Linked DNA regions of Anolis sagrei. The protein of the gene in region 1 interacts with the protein of each later gene in a pairwise test. Links are inferred from orthologs where the notes say so. Each region holds a gene or a part of one and is shown on either strand. Other genes may lie near its edges.

What was found.
Region 2: the proteins of PDE4DIP (region 1) and SCNM1 interact in binary tests that used the Homo sapiens proteins (3 or more experiments, as listed by UniProt). The two-hybrid records come from large-scale screens. The link is inferred for Anolis sagrei from reciprocal best matches to the Homo sapiens genes PDE4DIP and SCNM1.
Region 3: the proteins of PDE4DIP (region 1) and bystin interact in binary tests that used the Homo sapiens proteins (3 or more experiments, as listed by UniProt). The two-hybrid records come from large-scale screens. The link is inferred for Anolis sagrei from reciprocal best matches to the Homo sapiens genes PDE4DIP and BYSL.
Region 4: the proteins of PDE4DIP (region 1) and SDCBP interact in binary tests that used the Homo sapiens proteins (3 or more experiments, as listed by UniProt). The two-hybrid records come from large-scale screens. The link is inferred for Anolis sagrei from reciprocal best matches to the Homo sapiens genes PDE4DIP and SDCBP.

What each region holds. Positions count from the first base shown.
Region 1 is NC_090024.1:132,332,069-132,339,987, reverse strand, and holds the start of PDE4DIP (myomegalin), read right to left. Parts: upstream 3,004-7,919; 5' UTR 2,954-3,003; coding exon 2,766-2,953; intron 1-2,765. UniProt on the Homo sapiens protein: Functions as an anchor sequestering components of the cAMP-dependent pathway to Golgi and/or centrosomes.
Region 2 is NC_090032.1:6,618,846-6,626,491, reverse strand, and holds the start of SCNM1 (sodium channel modifier 1), read left to right. Parts: upstream 1-4,380; 5' UTR 4,381-4,811; intron 4,812-4,996; 5' UTR 4,997-5,005; coding exon 5,006-5,056; intron 5,057-7,082; coding exon 7,083-7,153; intron 7,154-7,646. Other genes in the region: LYSMD1 (lysM and putative peptidoglycan-binding domain-containing protein 1), read right to left, coding at 530-885, 2,273-2,452. UniProt on the Homo sapiens protein: As a component of the minor spliceosome, involved in the splicing of U12-type introns in pre-mRNAs. Plays a role in the regulation of primary cilia length and Hedgehog signaling.
Region 3 is NC_090024.1:191,064,117-191,072,266, forward strand, and holds the start of bystin, read left to right. Parts: upstream 1-5,000; 5' UTR 5,001-5,008; coding exon 5,009-5,351; intron 5,352-7,163; coding exon 7,164-7,326; intron 7,327-8,150. Other genes in the region: MED20 (mediator of RNA polymerase II transcription subunit 20), read right to left, coding at 2,176-2,189. UniProt on the Homo sapiens protein: Required for processing of 20S pre-rRNA precursor and biogenesis of 40S ribosomal subunits. May be required for trophinin-dependent regulation of cell adhesion during implantation of human embryos.
Region 4 is NC_090024.1:48,695,071-48,702,888, forward strand, and holds the start of SDCBP (syntenin-1), read right to left. Parts: upstream 3,377-7,818; 5' UTR 3,266-3,376; intron 912-3,265; 5' UTR 854-911; intron 1-853. UniProt on the Homo sapiens protein: Multifunctional adapter protein involved in diverse array of functions including trafficking of transmembrane proteins, neuro and immunomodulation, exosome biogenesis, and tumorigenesis.

The DNA.
Region 1 (7,919 bases):
GGATTCCCTACAGAGTTTTATAAGCTACTTTGCAATATAGGCAGTCCTCAAGCTACAAACAAGACAGGTTCTGTAGGTTTGTTCTTAAGTTGAATTTGTCAGAACAGGTACATTCCTAAGCGTCACTCCAGTCCAAAATACGTATATCTCTTTCAGCTTTGGACAGCATTAGAAGGGTTAACACCCCAATGGTGTTTGTTTTGCTGTCTGTGCCCCTTTTCAGAAGTTTCTGTCGCTGTGATCATTGGATTTTGAAAAAATGTGGCTTGTGGTAGAAACAAGGATTGGTGATCAGGCTTCAGTGGAGACACCTTTCTTGGTGATAACTCTTTCAGGAGTGAATTTCCTTTCCTAGGGATGGATTTCTCCCTCCCTTTCTCTCTCTCTCTTTTCTCTCTCTCTCTTTGAGGGAAATAGACCTTGACATTTGGGAGTTGTAGTTACTGGGATTTATAGTTCTCCTACAATCAAGGAGCATTCTGAACCCCACCAATGACAGAATTGGGGAACAGAACCCTCACGACCAACACAAAATAATGTGCTTTCTGGTAGTCTTTGGTGACCCTTCTGACCCCTCCCCCCAGTGTCCCCCAGGGGTCTTGACTTCCCAGGTGGAGAAATTGCCCCATAACATGGATTGGACTCCCTTCACCAGGGCAAGAAAACACAATCAAAGCCCTCCTGACAAAGAGCCATCCAGCCATTCACAGACACACATATATGTATATGACAGATGCAGTATCAAAGATTTGAAAGGGGCCTCTAAAGAAGGACAATGATATGTTGCCTGTTCCAGAGTAGGCAAACCAGACACTCTCCACATCAACACTGGCAAAGAAACAGCAAGAAATACTGTTTACCGACAAGCAGAAAGACATTACATATATTAGAAGCCAACACTTTCTCATTACTTTATTTTCCAGATCACCAGACTGGGCCACAGCAACACATGGTAGGGGACAGCTAGTATATAAATAAAAATGTAATGTTCGTTTGTGGGATTAACATAACTCAAAAACCACTGGACAAATTGCCGTCAAATTTGGCCGCAAAACACCTACTAACCCAAGGAGTGACCATCACTCAAAAAAATTGATTTTGTCATTTGGGAGTTCTAGTTGCTGGGATTTATAGTTTACTTACAATCAAAGAGCATTCTGAACTCCACCAATAATGGAATTGAACCAAACATGTTACACAGGACTCTCATGACCAACAGAAAACACTAGAAGAGTTTGGTAAGCATTGACCTTGAGTTTGGGAATTGTAGTTCACCTACATCCAGACAGCACTGTGGACTCAAACAATGATGGATCTGGACCAGACTTGGCATGAATACTCCATATGTGCATTGTTTGAGTCCACTGCTTTGAGCTGGATTATAGGAGTCTACACTGCTCTATTATCCAGTTTGAAGCAGATAATCTGGATTTTATTTTGCAGTGCGGATAGAGGCAGGGGCTGCTCAACCCATTGTAAGCATTTGCAGTATAGTTGATTTTGCCCAGGGGCGCTCTTGGGGGGGAAATAGACCTTGACATATGCAAGTTGTAGTTACTGGGATGTATAGTTCACCTACAATCAAAGAGCATTCTGAACTCCACCAATGATGGAATTGAAGCAAATATGGCACACAGAACTCCCACGACGAACAGAAAATATATATCAGTGATTGGTTTGGGGGGGGGGGGGGGAGGGGGAGTGTGCCAAAATACAGTTTGCTTACCGTTGAAAATTACCTAGGGCCGCCTCTGGATAGGGGATGACATTGCCCTATAAAACAGATTGTACTAAGATCCTAAAGTATGATCTGCTTTGAACTGGATTATAGGAGTCTACATTGCCATATAATCCAGTTCAAAGCAGATAATCTGGATTTTATATTGCAGTGTGGATGGGGGATGACACTGCCCCATAAAATAGATTTTACTAAGACCTAAAACATGATCTGCTTTGAATTGGATTATAAGAGTCTACATTGCCATATAACCCAGTTCAAAGCAGATAATCTGGAATTTATATTGCAGTGTGGATGGGGGATGACACTGTCCCATAAAATAGATTTTACTAAGGCCCTAAAACATGATCTGCTTTGATCTGGATTATAAGAGTCTACACTGTCCTATAATCCAGTTCAAAGCAGATAACCTGGATTTTATTTTGCAGTGCGGATGGGGACTGACATTGCCCTATAACACGGACTGTACCAAGGCCCTAAAACATGATCTGCTTTGAACTGGATTATAGGAGTCTACATTACCATATAATCCAGTTCAACACAGATTATCCGGATTTTATTTTGTAGTACGGATGGGGGCTGACATTGCCCCATGATCCAGTTTCAGAATGGGGATAGATCTGGATTGTAGGGCAGTGTTGACTGATTTAAAGCACCTTGAGGGCCCTTCCTAGGCCATATAACCTAGAATATCAAGGCAGAAAATCCCACAATATCTGCTTTGAACTGGGCTGAGTCCATGCTACCGTATATCCCAATTCAAAGCAGATAATGTGGGGTTTCATTCAGCTGTGTGGAAGGGGCCTGAGATTGAATCCGATGGATATAATCCAGTTGGATGCAGTAAAGCTATATTCTGGAATTGGATGATAATATGACAGTGAGGGAAATGCATGGGCTCAGAATCCAAGTCAGAGGATAGAGATGTTATTCTAAGGCGATGGTCTCAGGCAGGGTGATGTCAGTCCTTCCCAAGCAGGCCAGGGTGGCCCCCGCCCCCTTCTCCTTCCCCTCCCAAGCCTCTCACCTCCTGAGGCTCCTGAGTCCGGGGCTGGGAAGGGAGGCCGGAGGGGCGATCTTGCTTCGGGGACCGCTCCGTGCGGGGGGCCTGCGCCCGGGGGCCCCTCGCCCAATGCGCCGGGAAGGCTTGCCTTCTCCGGGGGGCGCCGATGGTCCTCCGGGGGCCCCCGTCTCCCTCCGCTTCGCCGCCTGCATCTTCCTTCTCCTCCGCCGCCGCCCAGCAGCATCCTTGGCGGCGTCACCGCGCCTTTGGGAGGTCGGGAGGGGCGGGGCCAGCGCCAGGCAGGAGAGGCGCCCCAGACAGGCCCGGGTGACCTCTGAGGTGGCCGCCAGCCTCACTCACAGAATGCAGCCCCAAATGCATTCTAGGCCTCTGTATTAGTGGTTCCCAATCTCTATCTATCTATCTATCTATCTAGCTATCTAGCTATCTAGCTATCTAGCTATCTAGCTATCTATCTATCTATATGTAAATAAAAATGTAATGTTCGTTTGTGGGGTTAACATAACTCAAAAACCACTGGATGAATTGACACCAAATTTGGACACAGGATACCTAACAACCCAATGTATGTCCTTCACTCAAAAATTTGCTTTTGTCATTTGGGAGTTGTAGTTGCTGGGATTTATAGTTCACCTATAATCAAAGAGCATTCTGAACCCCACCAGTGATGGAATAGGACCAAATTTGGCACTCAGGACTCCCCTGACCAATAGAAAACACTAGAAGGGTTTGGTGGGCATTGACCTTGAGTTTGGGAGTTGTAGTTCACCTACATCTGGAGAGCACTGTGGACTCAAACAATGATGGATCTGGACCAAACTTGGCACAAATACTCAATATGCCCAAATATAAATACAGATGGAGTTTGGGGGAAATAGACCTTGACATTTGGGACTTGTAGTTACTGGGATTTTTAGTTCACCTATAATCAGGGAGAATTCTGAACCCCACGAATGACAGAATTGGGGCAAACTTCCCACACAGAACCCCCATGACCATCAGAAAATACTTAAGGTCATCCAATCCAACTCCCTTCATCAGGGCAAGAAAACGTAATCAAAGTCCTCCTGACAAAGAGTCATCCAGCCATAGATAGATATGATTCACACACAGAGATAGAGTATCATAGATTTGAAAGGGACCCTTAAAGAAGGACAATTATATGTTGCATGTTCCAGAATAAGCAAACCAGACACTCTCCATATCAACACTGACAAAGAAACAACAAGAAATACTGTTTACCCACAAGCATAAAGAAATTACATAGATAAGAAACCATTACTTTATTTTCCAGATCACCAGACTGGGCCACAGCAACGCGTGGCAGGGGACAGCTAGTATATATATATATATATATATATATATATATATATAAATGCTCTGTGTGTTAAAAACAAAAGAACCAATGAACGAAATCACACCAAATTTGGTAACAAAATATCTCACAACACAAGGAGTGACCATCATTAAAAAAATTATGATTTTGTCATTTGGGAGTTGTAGTTGTTGGATTTATAGTTCACCTACAATCAAAGAGCATTCTGAACTCCATCAACAATGGAATTGAACCAAACTTGGCACACAGAACTCCCACAACCAACAGAAAATATTGTAAGGGTTTGGTGGACATTGACCTTGAGTTTGGGAGCTGTAGTTTACCTACATCCAGAGAGCACTGTGGACTCAAACAATGATGGATCTGGACCAAACTTGGCACAAGCACTCAATTCGCCCAAATATGAACACAGATTGAGTTTGGGGGAAATAGACCTTGACATTTGGGAGTTGTAGTCACTGGGATTCACAGTTCACCTACAATCAAAGAGCAATCTGAACCCCACGAACAACAGAATTGGGGCAAACATACCACACAGAACCCCCATGACCATCAGAAAATACTTAAGGCCATCCAATCCAACTCCCTTCATCAGGGCAAGAAAACGTAATCAAAGTCCTCCTGACAAAGAGCCATCCAGCCATAGATAGATATAGATAGATAGATATGATTCACACACACGCACACAGATAGAGTATCATAGATTTGAAAGGGACCCTTAAAGAAGGACAATGATATGGTGCATGTTCAAGGGTGGGCAAACCAAACACTCTCCGCATCAACACTGACAAAGAAACAGCAAGAAATACTGTTTACCCAACAAGCATAAAGAAAATACATATATTAGAAATTAACACTTTCTCATTACTTTATTTTCCAGATCAACAGACTGGGCCACAGCAACGCGTGGCAGGGGGCAGCTAGTTTATTTATATTGGGCCATGCCCCACCTAAGCATCTCTTAGTTAGTCCACTTCTACACTGCCAGATAAAATCCAGATTATCAGATTTGAAACTGGATTATATGACAGTATAGACCAGACATTGGCAAACTTTGTCCCTCCAGGTGTTTTGGACTTCAATTCCCACAATTGCTATTCAGAGCAGGGTATAGGGTCGCAACCTGTGCTGGATGGGGTTACACTCCCCTTGAAGGCACAGGTTCGCAGCTTGGGGGTCCTCCTGGGCTCATCACTGAGCCTGGAATCCCAGGTTGCAGCGGTGGCCAAGGGAGCGTTCGCACTATTTGAAGTTTCCGAGCAGTCTTCAAAGGCAACCCCGGTGGCCAAGGGAGCATTTGCACAATTAAAACTTGTGCGCCAGCTGTGCCCGTACCATGGGAAGTCAGACTTTGCCACGGTGGTCCACGCTCTCGGTACATCCAGGATAGACTACTGCAATGCACTCTACGTGGGGTTGCCTTTGAAGACTGCTCGGAAACTTCAAATAGTCCAACGAGAAACTGGGGTGGCATACAGGGAGCATACAACTCCCAAGTTACACCAGCTCCACTGGCTGCCAGTTTGCTACCAGGCACAATTCAAAGTGCTGGCTTTCACCTATAAAGCCCCAAACATGCAAATGTGAGAAGAGCTATAGGTACTGCTCTGGTGGGAAGGTAACAGCGCTCCATGCAGTCACGCTGGCCACATGAGCTTGGCGGTGTCTATGGACAATGTCAGCTGTTCAGCTTAGAAATGGAGATGAGCACTAACACTTCAGAGTTGGACAACACTGGACTTAATGTCAGGGGAAAATCTTTACTGAGATATGGTCAGCTCTCTGTGTCCATGGACTCTGGACCCACAGATTAAACTTCCATGACTTTAGAATACCCCACATCTCAAAAACACATTACTTTTGCCATTTTATATAACAACATGTCATTTGATTATGCATTATATGGGACTTGAGCATCCATTGCTTTTAGGATCCATGGCAGGCCCTGGAACCAAACCCCAGCAAATACCAGTATTTAGAATTCTCTACCAGAATCTCGTGCTTCCCCAAATTACAAATCCCAGGATTGCATAAAAAGTATTCATGGCAGTTAAAACCTATTAAAGGTGCATCTTCAGCCTCCTTAAAGTCTCCTTCTTGTTCTCAGTTACTTCTTGACAGCCACCTAGTGGCAAGGACTGTCATGAAAGACACCAGGACTTGGCTTCTGACTTCTAATCAAAATTTGCCACAGTTTTCAGATTCATACCTTTTTCCTTGGGTCTGCAATTTCTTTCATATGGAAGATATATTCCTCAATATAGCAACAGTTCAAGGATAAGGGAAGTCCAATGAGATTAAAGAGGAAAACAGAGAAATACCTAGAGAATGGCAAAAGGACATCCTTTGGGCGATGCAAATTGGCACATTGTCCCTCTCTGATCTGTGTACTTGTGATCTTGTCACATATCCAAACAAGGATGTTTGAATTTATACCAAATCTTTATATATGAAGTGCATGCAAAGTGGCATACAACAATCATTTGTCGATAATCTCGAAATAGTACATAAAAAAGAACAGCTTCAAAATGAGCAAGAATCACAATGGACTCTGGGTCCTTCCAGCTATAAAACCCAGAATATCAAGGCAGAAAATCTCACAATATCTGCTTTGAATTGGGTTATCTGAGCCCACACTGCCATATATATTCAAAGTGCTGGCTTTAGCCCATAAAGCCCTAAACAATTCTGGCCCAGCTTACCCATCCGAATGTATCTCCTCCTACGAACCATCTAGGAGCTTAAGATCGTCTGGGGAGGCCCTGCTCTCGATTCCGCCTGCCACACAAGTGCGATTGGCAGAAACGAATGGCAGGGCCTTCTTAGTGGTGGCCCCCTGGGTACGGAACTCCCTCCTCAGGGATATTAGATCGGCCTCCTCCCTCCTGGCTTTCCAAAAAAAGTAAAGACCTGGCTCTTTGAGCAAGCTTTTGAGAATGCAGCGGAATAGATAACACAGAACTATGAATGATGAACATGGAACAGCCAGACGATGTGAAGGTTTTTACCAAGACAACACCGATGATTATATGCTTTAACAGTTTTTATTTATGTTTTATATTGTAATGTTGATTGTTTTTAATTGCACTTTTATGAATGCCTGACATCGAATTGTGCTAATCTGTAACCCACCTTGAGTCGCAGTATGGCTAAAAAAGGGAGCTATAAATACCGTAAATAAATAAATAAATATATTCCAGTTCAAAGCAAATAATGTGAGATTTCATTCTGCTGTGTGGAAGGGGCCTAAAAGAACATCAAAAGGAAGTTCTTGGAAGCTCATTGGAATAGCACCTCCAGATTGGACTACTGTAATGCGCTCTACGTGGGGCTGCCCTTGAAAACGGCTCAGAAATTTCAGTTGGTCCAACGGGTGGCAGCCAGATTGTTAACTGGCGCTCCTTACAGGGAGCGGTCAACCCTCCTGTTTAAGGAGCTCCACTGGCTGCCATTCATTTTCTGGACCCAATTCAAGGTGCAGGTTCTTACTTACAAAGCTCTGGATGGTTTGAGACCTGCCTACCTACGTGACCGCATTTCTGTGTATGAACCCACATGATCTCTTCGATCATCTGGAGATCTACTTGCACTCCCACCTGCATCGCAAGCGTGATTGGTGGGGACAAGAGAGAGGGCCTTCTCGGTGGTGGCCCCTCGACTCTGGAACTCACTTCCAGGCATGCCCCAACTCTGGCAGTCTTTAGGAAGGGCTTGAAGACATGGTTGTTCCAGTGTGCATTCCCAGAATAATGAACCCTTAGCATTATGTCCTCCAAAAGCACTTTTTACTGATTTAGGACTGCTTGTATGTTCCCCCCAAC
Region 2 (7,646 bases), on another chromosome or scaffold:
GGGATTTATAGTTCGCCTACAATCAAAGGGCATTCTGAACTCCACCAACGATGGAATTGAACCAAACTTGGCACACAGAACTCCCGTGACCAACCAAAAATACTGGAAGGATTTGGTGGGCATTGACCTTGAGTTTGGAATTTGTAGTTCACTTACATCCAGAGAGCACTGTGGGCTCAAACAATGACCAAACTTTGCACGAATACTCAATATGCCCAAATGTGGAGTTTGGGGAAAATAGCCTTGACATTTGGGAGTTGTAGTTGCTGGGATTTATAGTTCGCCTACAATCAAAGAGCATTCTGAACTCCACCAACAGTGGAATTGAACCAAACTTGTCACACATTATTAATTTTATTAATAATAAATAAAATAATAATAATAAAGCATATATTATTACTATTATTATTATTATTGATCCTCATCCCCTTTCGCAACTTGGCTCGCTTACACCGAGCCACCTAAATCTGGGTTGCATCATGTAAAAGCCATCGTTTTCAAATTACAAGTGAGACGAAAAGGCACTCACAGGCTCTCCCCGTCCCGCAGCTTCTTGGTGGCGGCCTGCTTCGAGCGGCGGATCTCAGAGTCCAGTTTGAAGAGGAAGTCCGAGGCTGAGAGGTCATGTTTGGGGACGCCGCTCGAGGACCCGTTCTTCCGAGGGTGCTTCTGCTTCTTGGGGGTTTCGGGGACTCCAGGTCCCAGCTCATCTCCCGCTTTTGCGGTTGTGGCCTGCTCTCCCTCCTCCTTCTCCTCTTCGTCCTCGTCAAGGTTCAACCCGTTCGACAAGGACTTCGGCTCCATCGGCACTGGGATGAAGAGAGTCTTTTTCAGGAAAATGGAGTCGTTGGTGTAGAGACGGTTGGCCCGCTTGATCTGCTCGGTCTGGAATCGGATCAGAAAGGCGGTTAAGCGAAACGATAGCTCAATGCTCCTCTATCTATCTATCTATCTATCTATCTATCTATCTATCTATCTATCTATCTATCTCTGTCGTCTATCTGTCTGTCTATCCATCCATCCATCCATCCATCAATTCATCCATCCATGTCCTCTCTCTCTCACTCTCTCTATCTATCTATCTATCTATCTATCTATCTATTTGTCAATCTATCTGTCTATCTATCTATCTATCTCTGTTGTCTATCTATCCATCCATCCATCCAACCAACCATCTATCCATTCATCCATCCCTGTCCTCTATCTATTTCTCCATCCATCCATCCATCCATCCATCCATCCATCCATCCATCACCTCTATCTATCTATCTATCTATCTATCCATCCATTCATCCATCCCTGTCGTCTATTTCTCCAACCATCCATCCATCCATCCATCCATCCATCCATCCATCCATGTCCTCTATCTATCTATCTATCTATCTATCTATCCATCCATCCATCCATCCAACCATCTATCCATTCATCCATCCCTGTCCTCTATCTATTTCTCCATCCATCCATCATCCATCCATCCATCCATCCATCCATCCATCCATCACATCTATCTATCTATCTATCTATCTATCTATCTATCTATCTATCTATCAATCCATCTATCAATTCATCCTTCCCTGTCCTCTATCTATTTCTCTATCCATCTATCCATCCATCTATGTCCTCTATCTATCTATCTATCTATCTATCTATCTATCTCTGTCGTCTATCTATCTATCCATCCATCCATCTATCTATCCATTCATCCTTTCCTGTCCTCTATCTATTTCTCTATCCATCCATCCATCCATCCATGTCCTCTATCCATCCATCCATCTATTTATCTATCTATCTATCTCTGTTGTCTATCTATCTATCTATCTATCTATCTATCTATCTATCTATCTATCTCTCCATCCATCTATCCATTCATCCATTCCTGTCCTCTATCTATTGCTCTATCTATCCATCCATCCATCCATGTCCTCTATCTATCTATCTATCTATCTATCTATCATCTATCTCTGTCGTCTATCCATCCATCCATCCATCCCTGTCCCCTATCTATGTCCTAGTGTCCAGAACAGCCTTCCCCCTCCTCAATGGGAAATCCTTTCAAATATGTAAACATGACTCTCAACTTTCACTTTTGCTTCTCCAGCTCCCAAAGTCACTCCTTCTAGTTTTTCAGACCTTTGATCACGGCGATTGCTCTTCTCAACGAAAATAATGTTATGGTTAGGGGGTCAACACAACTTCTTTGACATGGACTGTAGTCAAGCCACGCCATGGATACTCATGCTATGTATCCATGCAATGATGTGCCAAGACTCACCGTGACCCCGTACTTGACCGCCAGGCCTTGGAGGGTATCCCCAGGTTCGAGGCGATGCTCCAGCCGCCTTTCCCGCACGGGCGAGCTGACTGTCTTGACCAGGCTGCCATAGGATCGGGTCCGGCTCCCTTGCAGCAACCCGGCTCCTCCGGGGGAAGCGGGCTTCGACGGAGAGGACATCCCTTTTCCCCCCAAAATAAATAAATCCCTAAAGACCTTTCCAGGGCGTGACCCTAAAGGGCCCTAAAACTTGACTCCAAAGGTCTTTTGAAGGCCCTAAAAGCTTGATCCTAAAGGTCCTTCCAAGACCCTAGAAGTTTGATCCGAAAGGTCCTTCCAAGACCCTAGAAGCTTGACCCCAAAGGCCTTCTCCAAGACCCCAAAAGCTTGACTTCAAAGATCTTTCCAAGATCCCAAAAACTTGACCCCAAAGGTCCTTCCAAGGCCCTAGAAGCTTGATCCCAAAGGTCCTTCCAAGTCCCTAGAAGCTTGACCCTAAAGGCCTTTCCAAGACCCCAAAAGCTTGATCCTAAAGGTCCTTCCAAGTCCCTAGAAGGTTGACCCCAAAGACCTTTCCAGAGACCCAGAAGCTTCACCCTAAAGGGCCATAAAAGCTTGACCCCAAAAGGTCCTTCCAAGTCCCCAGAAGCTTGATCCGAAAGGCCTTCTCCAAGACCTCAAAAGCTAGACCCCAAAGGTCCTTCCAAGATCCCAAAAGCTTGACCACAAAGGCCTTCTCCAAGACACCAGAAGCTTGACCCTAAAGGTCCTTCCAAGTCCCTAGAAGCTTGACCCTAAAGGTCCTTCCAAGACCCTAAAAGCTTGACCCTAAAGGCCTTCTCCAAGACCCCAAAAGCTTGATCCCAAAGGTCCTTCCAAGTCCCTAGAAGCTTGATCTGAAAGACCTTCTCCAAGACCTCAAAAGCTTGACCCTAAAGGTCCTTCCAAGTCCCTAGAAGCTTCACCCCAAAGGTCCTTCCAAGTCCCTAGAAGGTTGACCCTAAAGACCTTTCCAGGGACCCAGAGGCTTCACCCTAAAGGGCCCTAAAAGCTTGACCCTAAAGGCCTTCTCCAAGACACCAAAAACTTCACCCCAAAGGTCCTTCCAGGTTCTTAGAAGCTTGATCCGAAAGACCTTCTCCAAGATCTCAAAAGCTTGACCCCAAAGGCCTTCTCCAAGACCCCAAAAGCTTGACCCCAAAGGCCTTCTCCAAGACCCCAAAAGCTTGACCCCAAAGGCCTTCTCCAAGACCCTAAAACCCAGCAAGACCCCTAAGTTTGGACCCCACTTCTTGCCATGGTGGAGTGGCCCTTCTAAAGGCCCATCGTCCCCGTCTCAAAAGGTAAACAAAGCCCTGCCAACCTTGATCTATCTCTCTAGGTATCTACCCAGGATCCACAAACCTCCCCGCCAGCTTTGATCAAGCCTTTTCCAATCCAATTCAGATCTATTGATCTCCAATCCCAATCAATTTCCTGGCTCATAAGAGGAGACCACAACCAATGGTCTCCTCTTGGACACCCAACCCTATGTAGATATCTATATATATCTATATAATATATATATATTGATTATAATTATATATAATTATATATGCAATATAATTCTATATATATATATAGAATATAATTATATATAAATAGATATAATTTCCCCAGAAATATGTCTGTTTTGGTTCCAGCCACAGACAGATGTCAATCACCCATCACCCCTGCTGCCAATCAATAAGGATCAATGGCTCCAAAGAGGATACTTATCAATAGAGAGAGATTCTCCCAGCCAAGAAGCTGTTGGACCCAAAGCCTGCCTTGCAACCGACTCCCAAGCCCCGCCTCCCCTCCCGCGCAAAGGATCCTGGGATTTGTAGTCTTTGCACTCAAAACACTTTGGAAGCCAGGAAAATAAAATCAAACCCTTTCTCTCCTTTCCTTCCAATTTGAAACCCCCAAATCCAGGCAATTTGCACCCAATCCAGGCAAATTTTGCATTTAGGGGAAAGATATAAGTGATTTTGGGAGAAAGGACTACATTTCCCATCATGCTCCATTTTGAGCAAGGCATGATGGGAGATGTAGTTCTTTCCCCTCTCCAGGAAGTAAACAAGGGAAAGAAAGAGCCCAGAGGCATTTCGGGCAATGCAGTCTCTTGGAAGCAAAGCCCTGATTGGTGCAAGCAACTGAGAGTTGTAGTGCATGCTGGGAGTTGTAGTGCACACTGGGAGTTGTAGTCCTGGGATGTTTGCAACGCTAGAAGGTAAACATTGCATTGTTTGGAGGTGATGCAGTTTCTTAGAAGCAGAGCCCTGATTGATGCAAACAATTGGGGGTTTTAGTGCATGCTGGGAGTTGTAGTGCACAATGGGAGTTGTAGTCCTGGGATGTTTGCAACGCTAGAAGGGAAGCAGAGATTATTTGGGAGCAGTGCAGTCTCTTAGATGCAGTGCCCTGAGTAGTGCAAACAACAGAGAGTTGTAGTGCATGCTGGGAGTTGTAGTGCACAATGGGAGTTGTAGTCCTGGGATGTTTGCAACGCTAGAAGGTAAGCATTGCATAGTTTGGGGGTGATGCAGTCTCTCAGAAGCAGAGCCCTGTTTGGTGCAAGCAATTGGGGGTTTTAATGCATGCTGGGAGTTGTAGTGCACAATGGGAGTTGTAGTCCTGGGATTTTTGCAACTTTAGAAGGGAAACCTTGCATAATTTGGGGTGTTTTTTCTTTTATTTTAGGGGGAAAGGATGTCCTTCAAGAGGGAAGGAGACGACCCCAGCCAACTCAACGTCCTCAAGGTGAGTGGGAAAGGAAGTGGGGGCAAAAGAGGGGTCCATTTGGGGGTAAAATGCCATATTATTCCTTTGGAAAGGGTCCATGCTGTTTCCCATGTTGAATAGTTGCCATTTCCTGCAAAATCCAGATCCTATGTAAGCCACCCAAAGCACTCTGCACATGCTCAGTGGCTGCCTTGCCTTTTAGTTTGCTGGAAAGCACAGGGCACCTCTGAGCCAAGGACTATGTAAACAAGCCACCCAAAGCACTTTGCACATGCTCAGTCGCTATTTTGCCTTGCCTTTTTGCTTGCTGGAAAGCACAGGGTGCCTCTGAGCATGTACAGAGTGCTCCCAGCCTGCAGAGTTTGGCCACAGTGCATGTACACTGCATTATAATATAATATATTGTATATGCATATAATGTTTATAATATTATTAGCTGTACCTGCCACGCGTTGCTGTGGCCAAACTTCCCTCCTTCTTTCTCTCCTTTCTTCCTTCCTTCTTTCCTTCCTTTCCTCTTTTTCTTTCCCTTCTTCTTTCTTTCTTCCCTACCTGTTTCTTTTCTCGCTTCCTTTGCTCTGTGGTTCCATCCTTCCTTGTCTCCTTTCTTCCTTCCCTCTCTCTTTCTCTCTTTTGCTCCTTCTCTCCTTCTTTCCCTCTTTCCCTTTTTTATTTCATTCTTTCTCTTTCCTTCCTTCCCTCCTTTCTTCCTTCCTTCTATATACCCTTCTTTCCTTCCTTCTCTCCTTCCCTCTTTCTCTCCCTCCTTCTCTCCTTCCTTCTCCATTTTTTCCCTTCCTTCTCTTTTCCCCTCCTTCTTCTCTCTCTCCTTCCTTCTCTACTTTTCTTTCTTTCCTTCCTTCTTTCTCTCCTTCCCTCCTTCTTTCCCTCCTTCTCTCCTTCCTTCTTTCTCTATCCTTTTTTCTTTCCTTCTCAATCTTCCCTCCTTCTTCTCTCCCTCTTTCTCTCCCACCTTCCTTCTCTACCTTTCTTTCTTTCTTTCCTTCTTTCCTTCCTTCTCTCCTTCCCTCTTTCTCTCCTTCCTTCTATTTTTCCCTCCTCCTTCTCTCTCTCCTTCCTTCTCTACTTTTCTTTCTTTCCTTCTTTCACTCCTTCCCTCCTTCTTTCCCTCTTTCTCTCCTTCTTTTTCTATCCTTCTTTTTTCTTTCCTTCCCTCCTTCTTCTCTCCCTCTTTCTCTCCCACCTTTCTTCTCTACCCTTCATTCTTTCCTTCCTTCTCTCCTTCCCTCTTTCTCTCCCTCCTTCTCTCCTTCCTTCACCATTCTTTTTTTCCTTCCTTCTCTTTTTCCCTCCTTCTTCTCTCTCTCCTTCCTTCTCTACCTTTCTTTCTTTCCTTCCTTCTCTCCTTCCCTCTTTCTCTCCCTCCTTCTCTCCTTCCTTCTCCATTCTTTTTTTCCTTCCTTCTCTTTTTCCCTCCTTCTTCTCTCCCTCCTTCCTTCTCTATCCTTCTTTTTCCTTCCCTCCTTCTTCTCTCCCTCTTTCTCTCCCTTCTTCCTTCTCTGCCTTTCTTTCCTTCTTTCTCTCCCTCCTTCTCTCCTTCCTTCCTTCCTTCCTTCTTTCCGTGTATGTGTTGTGTGTGTGTGTAGGTATATAGGTGTGTTTGTGTATATATGTGTGGTTTTGCGCGTGCATTGTAATGTTTTGGTTTTGTGTTGTTTTTTGGCTTTTAAGTCCCTTCTGTTGTGTTTTTCATTGTTTTTAGGAGTGATGGCCACTCGTTGGCCTGAGAGGCGTCTTGTGTCCAAATTTGGCTTCTAGGAATTGTGGGAGTTGTAGTCCAAAACACCTGGAGGGAGAGCCGAAGTTTGCCCATGCCTGGTATAGATGCACTGTGGAAATAACTGGGGTAGCAGTGGCCAAACTCTGCAGGCTGGGTGCACTCTGTGCATGCTCAGAGGTGCCCTGTGCTTCCAGCAGGCAAAAAGGCAAGGCAAGGCACCCACTGAGCATGTGCAGAGTGCTTTGGGTGGCCTGTTTGTCTTAAAGTTTTCCTTCCTTTTAAAATCTTTTTCTTCTCCTCCAGAAAAGAAGAGTTGCGGACCTTTTGGCCAACTATATCCCGGAAGACGAAGCCTTGCTCCTGAGAGATGGCAGGTCAGCATCCCTCTCTCTTCCTTCCTCCTTTCCTCCCTTCATCCCCTCCCTTTGCTTCCTCTTTCCCTTTCCTCCTTCCTTCTCCCAATTTGTTTTTTCTACCATTCTTCCTCCCATCTTCCTTCTTCTCATCTCTCTCCTTCCTTCCTTCTCTCAATCCCTTCTCCTTCCTTCCTTCCTTCCTTCCTTCCTTCCTTCCTTCCTTCCTTCCCTCCTTCCACCTATCGTACTCCTTGCTTCCTCCTCTCTTAATCTTTCCTTCCTTCTCTCACTCCCTTCTCATTCTTTCCTACCTTTCTTCCCTCCTTCCTTCTTTCCACTCCCTTCTTCCACTTCTTAATCTCTCTCTCTCTCCTTCCTTCCTTCTCTAAATCCCTTCTCCTCCCTTCCTCCCCTATTTCCTTCCCTCCTTCCATCTATCTCAGTATCTCTCCTTCCTTCCTTCTCTCACAATCCTCCCTTCCTTCCTTTTTCACCTCCCTCCTTCCACTTC
Region 3 (8,150 bases), about 59 Mb from region 1:
AAAGCTAATTTATCTATCTCTTACATTTATTTCCTAGCTTTCCAACAAATGGTGCTCTAGATCAGGGTTTAACTTTTTCCACTCATGATCCCTTTCCACCCAAGGGAGTATTAAAACTGCATTAACGGCAATCTAATGCTACAGGTTGAGTATCTTTTATCCAGAAATCCCAAATTTCCCACATGTGTCTGAGATATTGACACCTTTGCTTTCTGATGGTTCAATGTACCAAATTATTTAAAATACTGTGCATAAAGGTGCCTTCAGGCTACGTGTATAATGTGTAAATGAAACATATATGCTGTGTTTAGGCTTGGCTCCCATCTTCAATATGTTACATCAGGCATGGGCAAACTTTCTAACTTGGGGGCCTCATGGCAGGCTGGAGCAGGGTGGGCAGGCCAGGAGCAGGGGGATTCTCTCCAAGTCCCCTCCCTGCCCTTTCCTCCCCTTCCTCTTCTCTTTCGGAGGCAGAAAGCAAAGGAAAGATGGGAAACATTTGGATCCCAAAAGGTTAGCCTTGGTCAGGATGAGGTGGATACGAGAGGAAAAAGTGTATCTATTAGACCCCATACTGCATACTCCTGATATAGAATCCTAGAGCTGGAAAGGACCCTCAAGGGCCATCCAGTCCAACCCCCTGCCAAGCAAGAAGGCACAATTAAAGCATTCCCGACAGACAGCCTCTGCGGAAAAGTCTCCAGAGGAGACTCTACCACACTCCCAGGCAGCCTAGGCCACTCTCCAACAGCTCTTACTTTCAGGAATTCTTCCTAATCTTTTCCCCTGCCATTTGAACCCATTGCTTCCTTGTGTTCTGGTCTCTAGAGCAGCAGAAAGTTGGTTTTCCCCCTCCTCTTCAATGGGACACCCTTTTAGATCTTGAAAATTGGTTCTCATGTTCCTTCTCTACCTTCTCTTCCCCCAGGTAAACATGCCCCAGGAGGAAAGAAGGAAGGAAAAAGAAAAGGAAGGAAGGTAAAAAGGGAAGAAGAGAAGGATGGATGGAAGGAAGGGTGGAGGGAATGCGGGGAGGGAGGAAAGAGGGAAGGAATCATAGAATCATAGTTGGAAGAGACCTCATGGGCCATCCAGTCAAACCCCCTGCCAAGAAGCAGGAATATTGCATTCAAATCACCCCTGACAGATGGCCATCCAGCCTCTGTTTAAAAGCTTCCAAAGAAGGAGCTTCCACCACACTCCGGAGCAGAGAGTTCCACTGCTGAACGGCTCTCACAGTCAGGAAGTTCTTCCTAATGTTCAGATGGAATCTCCTCTCTTGTAGTTTGAAGCCATTGTTCCGCGTCCTAGTCTCCAGGGAAGCAGAAAACAAGCTTGCTCCCTCCTCCCTGTGACAAAAGGGAAGGAAGGAAGGAGAAAGAGGGAGAGAAAGAGGGAAGAAAGACAGAAGACTGGAAGGGTAGGAGGGAAGGGGGAAAGGCAGAAGGAAAGAGGGAAGGAAGGAAGGATAGGATGGTGAGCGAGAGGAGGGCCTGCAAAAAGAGTCCAAGAGGCCGCATTCGGCTCCCGGGCGTGGGTTTCTCCATACCTGTGTTACATGCAGGTGGTGTCAATATCTTATTTACTAACACCTTGAAGATGGGAGCCAAGCCTAAACACAACATTTATGTTTCATATACATGTTATGTGTACGTGAAACATAAATGACTGGTTTGATTAGGCTTAGCAATTAGGCGATGCAAAAAAAAAAAAATCCCACACACAAAAATACCTGAAATCGCAAACTTGTCTGGCGCCAAGCAATTCGGATGAGGGGCAGATACTCCCCTGGCATTACATTGAGGAGATTTAGTAACTCAGGCATGGGTAAACTTCGGCCCTCCAGGTGTTTTGGACTACAACACCCACAATTCCTAACAGCCTACCGGCTGTTAGGAATTGTGAGCGTTGTAGTCCAAAACACCTGGAGGGGCGAAGTTTGCCCATGCCTGTAGTAACCCTACCTGTCACCAGGTCCCTCTCCTGCCCCTGACACTCGTCATTCGCTCGTTCACACGTTACACTCCATACCCGACCCCTCATTCTTGAAACGAATGTACATCCAAGCACAATCGCAGCAGGCCTCCATCTTGGCCGACACTGAGAAGCAAAAACATGCAACGGTCTCAAGGTAAAATGTTTGGCTAAGGCTACAGCAGCCTTGGGAAGCCGTACCAGGTGACACCCATGTTTCCTCGGCTGTCTCCTCCGCGGGGGAGGCGTGAACCCGGGCGGAAAGGTGGCCCAAGACTTCTCAGCCTCACTCAGCGCCCTCTGCCCGGCGGTCTTCGCGGAGCCTCACACAGCCTCGCCTCCTCGGAGGGAAGAACGCCGAAAGGAAGTGACGTCATCGCGGGGAATGCGGGCGAGTGTCGTCCTCGCCGCCTCCTCTCGGAAGCGGCCCCCTGGCGGCCGGAGCAGGCAATGCAGGCCCACCTCCAACTCAGGTGGTCCTGCATTGCCCATCCAGCAAAAGAAAGTGGAGCCAGGCTTTCCTGTAGGGAGGAAAGTATTGACACCTCCGGCCCATCCTCTGTTCGGATATCAGCCAGCATATTGACGTTTTAAATCAAGAAACAACTTCCTAAGATCTACTTTATATATACGTATATTTAGGTTTAAAATTGTATTTCATCTATATAAATAAAAATGTAATGTTCGTTTGTGGGATTAACATAACTCAAAAACCACTGGACGAATTGACACCAAATTTAGACACAATACACCTAACAGTCCAACGTGTGACCATCACCTGTAAACACACACACAAACACACACAAAACCCCAGCCGAACAGACTTAAAACCCCCCCAAAAATACCATATTTACATATACACAGAATCATAGAGTTGGAAGAGACCTCATGGGCCATCCAGTCTAACCCCCTGCCAAGAAGCAGGAATATTGCATTCAAATCACCCCTGACAGATGGCCATCCAGCCTCTGTTTAAAAGCTTCCAAAGAAGGAGCCTCCACCACACTCCGGGGCAGAGAGTTCCACTGCTGAATGGCTCTCACAGTCAGGAAGTTCTTCCTCATGTTCAGATGGAATCGCCTTTCTTGTAGTTTGAAGCCATTGTTCTGCGTCCTAGTCTCCATGGAAGCAGAAAACAAGCTTGCTCCCTCCTCCCTATGACTTCCTCTCACATACTTATACATGGCTATCATGTCTCCTCTCAGCCTTCTCTTCTTCAGGCTAAACATGCCCAGCTCATTAAGCCGCTCCTCATAGGGCTTGTTCTCCAGTCGCCCTCCTCTGGACACATTCCAGCTTGTCAATGTGTCCAGATACACATACACTCATATACATATACACATGCACACATTCATACACACACACATATATATATGCACAAACACACACAGATATACACATATACACAAACATACATACACATACACACAGATACACACAGATATACATATACACATGCACACACATATACATATCCACATAATATTTCGTTCAGACGATCAGAATCTCCTTGAAGTTCCCAATTTTAGGACCATTCACCTGATGTCTACTAGGCGTAGAACTTTCACGGTGGTGGCTCCTTATCTATGGAATGCTTTGCCAGCAGGAACAGGAGCTCTCCGAGATTTACTTGCTTTTCGTAGAGCTTGTAAAACTTATTTATTTAGGGTGGCATTTGAATTTTGTTGATCAAAGTTTTTCTTGTGTATATTGTAAACCGCTCCGAGACTTCGGCGAGTGGAAGTATATAAAATTGATTAATAAAATAAATAATATATATATATATATACACACACACACACACACACAAATATGCATATAGACAAGCACACACATATACACAATATGCATGCACACATATAAATACACATATATACACACACTTATATACACAAATATATACACATACATAAACACATATATACACACACACAAAACACATATGCACAGACTGGGCTACAGCAACACGTGGCAGGGGACAGCTAGTTTATAATAATAATAATAATAATAATAATAACTTTATTTATACCCTGCCACCATCTCCCCAAGGTGACTCGGGCGGCTTACATGAGGCCAAGCCCAACAAAATACATCAGTAGAAAACAAGGCAAGCAAGCAAATAAAACACAGTACAATATCATAAATAACATATAAGCAGTAACACACAAGAGATTTAAAAGACTGTGGGAAAGGCCGGATGTAGTAGATTAAATTTTTAAAATACTGGGTGTGAACAGAAGTAGGGTATCTAAACGGGGGGTGGGGCGGTTAGAGAGTAATGTAGGGAAATAAATCCAACGGGTAGTGCTTCAGAGGACATATTGCAGAAAATTGATCAAATTAGGGCATTGTTTCCTTTATTCAGGGAAGGCACACTGAAATAGCCATGCTTTCAAGATGTCCCAGTCCTCAAACACTCTGTGCTTCATTCGTAAAAATGCACTCACAGAGCTCAGGCGGTGTTGTATTTAAGTGTCAATGTGGACTTTTGTGGGGAGGTGGCTGCCAAGGTAGTGGAAATTATCAACATTTTCTAATGTTACACCATTAAGCTATATTTCTGGCATTGGAGAGGGATTGGCTGGTGACTGCTGGAAGAGCACTTTGGCTTTCTCGATGTTCAATGACAGGCCAAGCTTTTCATATACTTCTGCGAAGGTGTTTAGAGTGGCATGTAGAAATTCTGAATGTGCACAGACGATGTTATCATCAGCATATTGGACTTCTGTAATAGATGTTGTCACCTTGGTTTTGGCTTTCAGTCTGCTGAGGTTAAATAGCTTTCCATCTGTCTGATATTTTGCATATACAATTTTCCAAATGTATATGCAAAATATTAGAGATGTGGGCAAACTTGAGCCCTACCGGCTGCTAGGAATTGTGTGAGTTGAAGTCCAAAACACCCGGAAGGCCCAAGTTTGCCCACGCCTGATTGGTCTCAAAAGCGTGAAAAGTTGGGAAAGCTCTGCTCTATATCTATTCCGCCCCTGCGGTCGCAAGCCCCGCCCCTTTTCTGGCCTTCTCTTTCCGGCGCATGCGTCTTAGCCTTTCCTCTCCCCCACGTGTCTGGGCGATCATGCCGAAAGAGAAGCGGGTGCGAGGGGCCTCCTCGGCGGCCGGGGTGAGCGTGCCTCTGGCCGAGCAGATCCTGCAGGGCGAGGCGGTGAAGCCCAGTCGGCGGGTGAAGCGGAGGGGCAAAGCCGGCCTGCATGGCGGGGGAGCGGGAGGAGAAGAGGAGGAGGAGGAGGAGGAGAAGTACGTGGACGAGCGGCTCTCCCGGAAGATCCTGGAGCAGGCGCGGATCCAGCAGGAGGAGCTGCAGGCCGAGCATGGCCTTTCCGGCAGAGAGGAGCCCAAGAGGAAGACCACCGTCCTGGGTGAGTGGGCAAAAAGCACGTGACATCACATTATTAAGCCCATCCTGGGATTAAACAAACCAAACACCCCGCCATCCTCCAGATGCGATGGACTACAACTGCCATCATCCCCAACTCCTTCAGTACAGCCAAGTAATAAAAATAGGCCTAACTCTGCCTTTCTATCACACTGTGTAACACAATGTTTGTTTCTGGGTTGTAAACGTCATTTCCCAATTGGTTATGTTACAAAACACAGCAAAAGTTTTGTTTAACTGGATTGTTGTGAGTTTTCCGGGCTGTCTGGCCATGTTCCAGAAGCTAGACAAGTGAGGTTTATATATCTGTGGAATGTCCAGAGTGGGAGAAATAACTCTTGTCTGATGGAGGCAAGTGTGAATGTTGTAATCGGTCACCTTGATTAACATTGAATGGGCTTGCAGCTTCAAAGCCTGTAAACTCCACTTGCCTAGTTCCCAACAAATGTCACAATCTCTCAGGATGCCTGCCATAGATGTGGGCGAAATGTGAGGAGAGAATGCTTCTGGAACATGGCCATTACAGCCCGAAACTCACAGCAACCCAGGGCCCTTCCACACAGCCATATAACCCAGAATATCAAGGAAGAAAATCCCACAATATCTATTTTGAACTGGTTTATCTGAGTCCACGCTGCCATATATCCCAGATAATGTGGGATTTTATTCAGCTATGTGGAAGGGGCCCCGGTGATTTTGGCCATGAAAGCCTTCAACAACATTATTTCTTTGATCCCCCCCCCCCCCCCCGGTTACCCGAGAGTTCTGGCTGCTTGAGTTGTGGTTAACTCAGAGTCTACTATATTTTGTCCAAGTAAATGAACTAAGGGTGATATTAACTGTATTTTCATAGCATTGCCATAAGATGTTTCAACCATATACAGTAGACCAGGGATCCTCAAACTAAGGCCCGGGGGCCGGATGCGGCCCTCCAAGGTAATTTACCCGGCCCTTGCTCAGGGTCTACCTAAGTCTGAAATGACTTGAAAGCACACAACAACAACAACAACAATCCTATCTCATCAGCTAAAAGCAGGCACACACTTACCATTGAAATAGTAATAAGTTTATATTTGCTAAAATTGTTCTTCATTATAATTATTGTATTGTTTTTAAGTGTATAGGAATTCATTCGTGTTTTTTTTTTTTCAAATTATAATCCGGCCCTCTAATAGTTTGAGGGACTCTGACCTGGCCCTCTGTTTAAAAAGTTTGAGGACCCCTGCAGTAGACTCTCTGTTAAGTCATGGGATAGATAAATGGCAATTTCTGTAGTTTCTGGTAGCATGGGAGTTGCTATTAAAATTAGATCTAATACTATACAGGTAAAGGTTTCCCCTGACATTGTCTAGTCGTACCCAACTCTGGGAGATGATGCTCATCACCATTTCTAAGCCGAAGACCGTACGCCTCCAAGGTCATGTGTCTTAAGCAGCCGAGGGGGAAAAGGAAGGGGCCTGAGGCTGTTAGGAATTGTGAGAGTTGAAGTCCAAAACACCTGAAGGGCCCAAGTTTACCCATGCGTGGTCAAAGTCAAAGTAAGTGAAGCTAAGGATAACAATGCATTTTCAATGCATGTCCATAACTAGTTCTTCTTTGCAGCTGGAAAAAAACCCTTTTGACCACTATCCCATTGATTACAATAAGAACCTATTCTATACTTTAGGATCCCACTCTGGTATTCTCCAGGTTGGTACAGCTGCCATCGTCCCCAGGAATTCTTCAGATCAGGGGCAATAAGGCAATTGCTTGTTTTGCTAAACATGTAGAGCTAATTTTCACCTGCCTCTTCTAGGCTCCAACTCAAAGGATGGAGGTTCAGATACAGATGACGAGGAATGGCCATCACTGGAGAAAGCTGCAGCCATGGAGAAGGGAGAGTATTGTGAGGAGATGACTGTGAATCCTGAGGATGAAAAAGCCATTGAAATGTTCATGAATAAGAACCCACCACTGAGGTGAGCCCAAAAGGACCAAATCTTGGTTTATGGTTGAAAAATTAGTGGTAGAGGAGCCCTTTTAGGGTTTTTGTTTTGTTTGATTTTGTTCCTGGGATTAAGCGATATGTGGAAAGTTGGTACAAAAGCTGAGAAATTTCCCCTAGTTCCCTCTTGTGTAGTGGTTCTCAACCTGTGTGTCCCCAGATGTTTTGGCCTTCAACTCCCAGAAATCCCAACAGCCGGTAAATTGGCTGAGGTCTCTGAGAGTTGTAGGCCAAAACACTTGGGGACCCACAGGTTGAGAACTACTGCCCTAAATGGTTTGGGTCCAGCTTACCTGTTACTTCTTTTATTATTTTGCCTCACTCCCACTGTTTGTATTATATGCAATTATGAAACAGAATTCCACTGAAGGAATGGGATTACGTTGGTTTTTAATGGACTAATGATGTCAAATTATAAATTGACAGAAAAAGCATCCTCTACAGCTAATTGACTAATATTGATTGGGAGAAAAAACAGATTAATTGTTTACCTGCAAACTTAGAGACTTGAAGCCAGTTGGAATATAATTGACTAGAACATGTGGCTCTCAACCTGTGGGTCCCCAGATGTTTTGGCCTTCAACTCCCAGAAATCCCAATAGCTGGTAAACTGGCTGGGATTTCTGGGAGTTGTAGGCCAAAACACCTGGGGACCCACAGGTTGAGAACCACTGTTCTAGTGTTTATTGATCTTTATAAGAATGGAACAGCTCTCAGATGTATTTTTATGTGTCTTAGTTTTATGTCTCATCAGCACAGCAAAACAGAGTAGCTATTAACCCTCATAAAACACAACCT
Region 4 (7,818 bases), about 84 Mb from region 1:
ACACACATGCTCAATTCTAATATCACATATACAGTGAAAGGAAATGACTTCGCAATGAAAGTGAATTGCTAGGAAAATTATGATGGTATATTGCTCAATGCATATGTTTAAGCAAAAGGAATTCCTGTATGGTGGGATCTGTTTGGGAAAAAAACTGAAGCCACAAATATCAATCTTTTGTACAGTTCTATGCTGCTTCAACGCCTATAATAAGCTACTGAATTTGGGTCATCATATCTTAAGACATACAGGTGAGTTCAATTTACATTACTCACAACCAGAATGCATAGCTCTCTCAGCACACCTGAGAAGTGGAGTGAAACAGAGGTGAGTGTGTGAGAAAGGTGAGTTGAGCTGAGATGCAGCTTTGCCATAAAGCGACTGGACAGTGTTACCTTCCTAAGCTGGAGGAATGGGAAAAGTAACTGCAGTCTTGTTATCACTGAATGAAAGGGTTACAATAGGAAAAAGTACACTTTGCTAGTGGGTAACAGTATCAACAGTCACTTGTGGTGAGATAACTGAAATGGCCATCTTTGTTGTTACCCAGTTCCTTACGTCAGTTACAATAAAAGTCTAGGAGACCAACTTTAACACAAACTGAAACTCCTCTGTGTATTGCAGAGCAGATGAAAACATAGAAAATAGCCAGCCAATAGCTAGTGACCTGAGGAAGCCTCACTATAAGTCAACGTAATATTTTAGCTTAGAAAATAGCAAGAGAAAATAATAAAGGTATGTAAAACTATGTATGAAACAGCATCAACTTCCCAAAACCGGGAAGGGGGATTTCGAGCTAAAACAGTTTGTCAAACAATTATCTCAACAAATTCTGGTAATACTAGTGACTCACATGTTTTGGAAACTCTGATGGGGAATTAGATGGCTCTTCAGAAACAAAATACTGTAATCTATTGTAAAACAGAACACAAAATAATACAATATCACTATATTTTCTCATCCAGATTTTACACTGAAATTGAAAACATGGATGTAGTACTGAACACCTTTACTAGCCATTCAGCCTTACAGAACCCAGTAGACTTTATTGCAAACAAAAACATAGAACTTACTGAATTTACCCTCAGTAGTCATCTAATATTATTAAATACAAAAGTTAGGATGGACCATGTGAGACCTGAACAGGTCTGTTGACTTGAGGGAATGTCTCAACTGACCACTTAATATAGATTGAAGGCGGGATTGTCCCATGCACAGGGTTGCCAAAAGTAAAGTCAATTCTAGGATAGCTAGCAACCACCATATGGTCACATGTACACACAGAGATGACAGAGAATGTATATATTAAGACATAGTTGGAATCAAGGCAGCAACCAATACACCCCAATTTTATCTCTCTTGGTTTGTGGTTTTAAAAACCAAAACAGGCAACTCCTAGTAACATCTAAAGTACACACACCCGCAGCAATGGAAAAGACATCACGTCACGCAGAAAAACCAACAACTTCCTTCTCCCACCTTTCAGCAAACATCCTGTAACAAAACTGAAAATGGATGCCTCCTCCTCCTCCATTTGTGACTCCTCTGAGGAATCAAAGCCTCTCAGTGCTTCTCTCCCCCACCAACCAAGAACCTATTTCAAGGAAAAAGGGAACTGGCAAAGCTTTTGCTTGCCTCTCCTCCTTCCCTCCCTGCTCAATCTGGGCCTCTGTCCCAAGTAGGAGGAGGAGGGGGGAGAAGGAGAAAGGAGGGAGTGAAGAAGGGGAATGAGAAAGCAGAGGAAGAGAGAGAGGAAGAGGGGGGGGGGAAGAAAAGAAGGGTGGAAGAGCAGGAGAAGGGAAAAAGAGGAAAACTTATGAAAATTTGAGAGAGAATGGGGAGGAAGAGGAGGAAGAAGAGAAGGAGAAAGAGGCTGGAAAGAAAGGAGGACAGATGAAAGTGAGAAAGGAAGAGGAGTACGAGGAGGAACAAAATGAGAGAGAAAGGGAGGAAGGGAGAAGGAGAAAGTAAGAGAAAGAAGAGGTGAAGGAGGAGAAAGAGGAGGGGAGAAAATTAGGATGGGGATATGAGGAGGAAGAAGAAATGGAGGAAGGGGGAGAGGAAGAGAAAGAAGTGGGGAAGGAGGAGAAAGAGAAGGAGAAAGAGGAGGTGGAGAAGAACGAGAACAGATGAAAATTAGAGAGGGGGAGTACGAGGAAGAGAAGGAGAAAGGAGGAGGAAGGGGCAGAGGAAGAGAAAGAACAGGAGGAGGAGGAGAAAGAGAAGGGGGAGAAGAAGGAGGACATGTGAAAATTAGAGAAGGGGAGTACAAGGAGGGGCAGGAAGAGAAAGAAGAGGGGAAGGAGGAGAAAGAGAAGGAGAAAGAGGAGAGGGAGAAGAAGGAGGACAGATGAAAATTAGAGAGGGAGAGTACAAGGAGCAAGAGGAGGAGAAAGGAGGGAGAGAAGGAGAAAGAATGAGAAAGAAGAGAAGGGGGAAGAAGAGAAAGAGGGAAGGAAAAGGAAGAGGAGAAAGAGGCAGAGAAGGAGGAGGGCAGATGAAAATTGGAGAGGAGTAGTACAGGAGGAAGGGAAGGAGAAAGAGGAGGGGGAGAAGCAGGAGGACAGATGAAAATTAGAAAAGAGAGGGAGTAGGAGGAGGAAGAGAAAAAAGAAGACGAGAGAGAGAGAGAAGGAGAAAGAAGCAGAGGTGAAGAAAAGATGAAAATTAAGAAAGAGAGGAGTACGAGGAGGAAGAGAAGAAAGAAGAGGAGAGAGAGAGGAGAAAGAAGAAGAGGTGGAGAAGAACAGATGAATATTAGAGAGAAGGGGGAGTACGAGGAGCAGCAAGAGGAGAAAGAAGAGGAGGGGAGGGAGAGGATGGAGTAGGAAGAGGGCGGGGGAGGTGAGTAAACCCCTCTCGCTGCCAAACGTCTTGTGTGTGTGTGTGTGTTGGGGAGGGGGCTTCAGGCGCTCTCCCTTTCTCTCCCAGACTCAGACGACCCTCCCCTTCTCTTCAGACACGTCTCGCCTCAGACCGAGACAAGGAGCAACAGCAGCCATACAAATCAAGGGGTGCCCACACACAAACACACACACTTTTCTTCCTCAGGTGACAAACAATCCCCACAAAATCACAAATGTGCGGGCTACGGAGGCGTCGCTTCTATTTGAGGAGGGTCCGAGGAACTAGGCCTCCTTTTCTGAGGGAGAAAGAAGGCGCCTCTCCCACCCCAACCCCACGGCCCTTGATCCACCCCAGGCCCCGGCCTCCCTCCCTCTCTCCCTCTCACACAAACACGGTTTTTGCTTCAAGTCGTTCTCACCGAGCGGCCTTGGCGACGACTCCTCTCCTCAGCCCGTTAGGCGACGACTCGAAGGCGGAGGTGCTTCCAGGAGGAACTGCCAGGGAGGGAGGGAGATAGGGAGGGAGAGACCTCCGCGCATGCGCAGACGCCTGCCCCCGGGAAGGCTCGTGACCGTGGGTGAAGGGACAGAAGGGAAAGCGCGGGAGGAGTCAAGGCTGGCTGGTGGGAGCCGCCTCCACTCTCTTTCTGAGAAGGGCTGGGAAACTTCTGTTCATATAATCCTTAAGTTGGAAGAGACCACAAGGGCCTCTGTACTATTGATCAGGTATGGGCAAGCTGGGGTAAAAAATGCTGCAAGAAACATTAACAACCTTAGATATGCAGATGATACCACTTTGATGATACCACTTGGTGGTATGGGCATACCAAATCACCTTGTCTTTTTCTTGAGGCAGACATGTAGCGGGGGGGGGGGGGCTTGAGGGGCTTCAGCCCCCCCCCCCCCCCCCGAAATTCTCATGGTGGTTCACGAAAAGTATGATATCTGGGATCCAATGCTGGTTGCATGTCACGGGTCAGAATTAGAGAAGCGAAGATATAACATATTTGAATGTGTTTGCATATGATATCCGGATAGCCTTAAGCACTATGCTCGGCTGTCCGTTCCCCCCCTTTCTGCCCCCGTTTCTGCCCTCCCCCCTTTCTGGCAAGCTATCTTGCCACGACTCTGTCACACCTGCATCTCTCACTTGCTGCGCTGTCTCAGCATTGGGTTCCAGCTATCATAGTTTCGCCCAGTTCCCAACAACTCAGCAAAGGTGATGGGTGTTCCACCCCAGGGAAAAAAAACAACATGGAGAGGGCCATGTGCTGAACTGAAACCAGGGAGCCTTTCTCATTAGGGCACATCTACACTGTAGAAATAATGCAGTTTGATGGCACTTTAACTGCCATGACTTGATGCTATGGAATCACATGAGTTGTAGTTTTACAAGGCCTTGAGCCTCCTCTGCCAAAGAGTGGTGGTACCTCGCCAAACTACAACTCTGAGATTTCCCATCACTTTTCTAATGAGTTTCAACATGGTATTGACCAGGCATGGGCAAACTTGGGCCCTCCAGGTGTTTTGGACTTCAACTCCCAGAATTCCTAACAGCTTCAGGCCCTTTCCTTTTCACTTAAGTGGCTGATGGGGGAAAGGGGCTGTTAGGAATTCTGGGAGTTGAAGTCCAAAACACCTAGAGGGCCTGTATTGACCATCACAGTATCTCTGATCAACATTTTTTGTTGAGGTAGTCATCACATTTCCTGAATTGTTTTGTTTTGGTTTTGTTTTGTTTGGGGTTTTTTTTGCCCCAGTGAGTCATTTTACTCCTTGTTTCCCCAGTTTGAAAAAGTAACCTGCAATCTAGTTTTGTTTTAACAGCTAATGATTTTGCATTATCAGCAAATCTCGGCACTTCACTATTCACCCCTCATTAACCAGTTAAAAACAGATTTTTTAAAAATTGTAAAATCTTGAGTGTGCATAATAACTGTTCAGCGATGGCTTTTTCATATATGCAGGTTGTCACTTGATTTCTGCTACAGGAATGTATGAACTAGTTCCATATATTAAATTGGGTTACTCTTTTTTTTCCATCAAGGTACATTTATATGAGAGGGAACTTCAAAGCAATGTGGTTCTTTGATCACATTTTATAATATTTTGAAGAACATTTACCTCTGAAAGTTTGCTGAAGAGGAAAATACTATAATGTGTTTGTATTCACTTCTCCCAACTTGTCTCATGACAAACAGCTGTGTTCCTCATATTTTGTTTACTGTGAAAAACAGTTGAGTTCTGGTGTCTAAGCAGCTGATTTCTTGGTGTTGCAGATTTTCAGCAAACCCCACAGTTGATTCAAATTGATTTGCACAACGCAGCCCTGTTTAAGAAAAATTAAATCTTCACAGTTTTTTTTTCAGATATGAGGCACATTATTTCACAATCGCATCATGGCATGTCTGTTATTGAATTATAGAATGATTCAGAGGCCCCATCTACACTGACCAGATAGTAGAGTTTAATTGCACTGAACTGCATTATATGGTAGTGTAGACTCATATAATGCTGTTCAATGCAATTAAACTGTTTTATGAAACCACTATATTGTCGATGATGATGATGATGATTGGAACTTATGTCACAAGTACCACCTGCCAGTAGTAAAGATTTCTTGGAAATTCCCAGTGTCAAGACCTTGCGTCTAACAGCAACCAGACGCAGAGCCTTTACTGCAGTGACACCATCACATTGGAATACTCTGCCAACTGAAGTCCGTGCCTTGCGGGACTTATCAGCTTTCCGCAGGGCATGTAAGACATATCTGTTTCGACGGGCCTTTGATCTTTGATTGCTGTTTTTAAATTGTTTTAAATTGTTTTTAAATTGTGTTCAATTTTAGCCTGTTCTTGTAAGCCGCTCCGAGCCCCAGGGGAGTGGCGGCATATACGTTCAAATAATAAAATAAATAAATAAATAATTGGTGGGATCATAAACCTGCAAAGGTCGTGGAAAATGAGCACGCAAAAATACTGAGGGACTTCTGAATCCAAACTGACAAAGTTTTGGAACACAATATGCCAGACATCATGACTGTGGAAAAGAAAAAAGTTTGGATTATTGATGTTGCCACACCAGGTGACAGTCGCATTGAGGAGAAACAACAAGAAAAACTCAGCCATTATCAGGACCTCAAAATCGAACTGCAAAGGCTCTGGCATAGACCAGTACAGGTGGTCCCAGTGGTGATCGGCACACTGGGTGCCGTGCCAAAAGATCTCAGCTGGCATTTGGAAACAATAAACATTGACAAAATGACGATCTGTCAGCTGCAAAAGGCCACCTTACTTGGATCTACACGCATCATTTGAAAACACATCACACAGTCCTAGGCGCTTGGAAAGTGTTTGACTTGTGATTTTGTGATACGACTTCCAGCATATATCTCTCGTTGGTTGTGACATACTGTGTTTTTGTATCAATAATAATAATTAATTATTTGTATCCCACTTTAATCCTTAAACAGGATCCAAAGTGGCTCACAACATTATGTTAAAGCAATACGAAACAATATACATACGTAAAACAAAACTTCTAAAAACAATTTACAATAAAGATAAGTAAACATATTTAAAAACATTTATCCAATACAGTTATTACAGGTAACTCAATAGAAAGATGATAAACGTAGGACAGCTCAATAAAAGTTTACCTTCCTGTCATTACAGCTAAGTATCTTCATCAAAGGCTTCTAGACGGGGCCTGACAGTGAATTAACAATGCAGTTTGACACCACTTTAGCGCCCATGGCTCTATGCTAGGCAGGCATGTAGCCGGGGGGGGGGGGCTATGGGGGCTTCAGCCCCCCCCCCCCCGAAATTCTCATGGTGGTCCGCGAGAAGGCCTTACTGGTACATTATTTAAACTGTTATGTTTATTAATATCATGATCTGATCATCATTCTCAATATTCTCAACTAGTCCAACGCTCGGCAGCCATGATTTTAACAGGAGCGGAGCGCAGGGAGCATACAACCCCCCAGTTGCGCCAACTCCACTGGCTACCGATCTGCTACCGGGCTGAATTCAAAGTGCTGGCGTTGGCCTTTAAAGCCCTAAACGGTTCCGGCCCTAGCTACCTATCTGACCGCATCTCTGCCTATGAACCCACGAGGAGTTTGAGATCTTCCGGGGAGACCCTGCTCTCGATCCCGCCTGCTTCTCAAGCTCGGCTGGCGGGGACGAGAGATAGGGCCTTCTCGGTGGTGGCTCCTCGGCTGTGGAACGCCCTTCCTACGGACATTAGACTAGCACCATCTCTAATGGTATTCCGCAAAAAGGTGAAGACCTGGATGTTTGTGCAGGCATTTGAGTAATTTAGTGCAATCTGGTAATTGGAACATAGGAATGGAACAATGGACGACGAACCTGGACTACGCTTGGATGATGAGAAGATTGGGTACGGTTGTTTTTTGTAATAATTGTGCATTGTAATTGCTTATTGGTAATTTATGGATAATGTGTTAAGTCAATTGTTATATGTTGTATGGAACCACTGCTGTTTCTACTGTTTTTACTGTTTGTGAACCGCCGTGAGTCGCCTTCGGGCTTGAGATATAGCGGTATATAAGCAAAGTAAATAAATAAATAAATAAATAAATATATCCCAGATGTATGGGGGTATTGGAGTAACAATACAAAAGGTTTGCTAGGGTAGACCCTCTTTCACCCAGAACCCCCCCCCCCCCCCGAATCAAAATCCTGGCTACGGGCCTGATGCTAGGGAATCATAGGAGTTGTAGTTTAGTGAGGTACCAACAGTCTTTCACAGATTAAACACCCTGTAAAACTACAACTTTTAGGATTACATAGCATTTAAGACATGGCAGTTAAAGTGGTGCCAAACTATTCATTTGACAGTGTAGATTCAACTTAAGGCTCCTTGTTGTTTTGTGGGACACTGGCGATCTGCACAGGCACATTTGTGTTATGATTTAGATGTTCTTTAGTTTTAGAATTGTTTAATC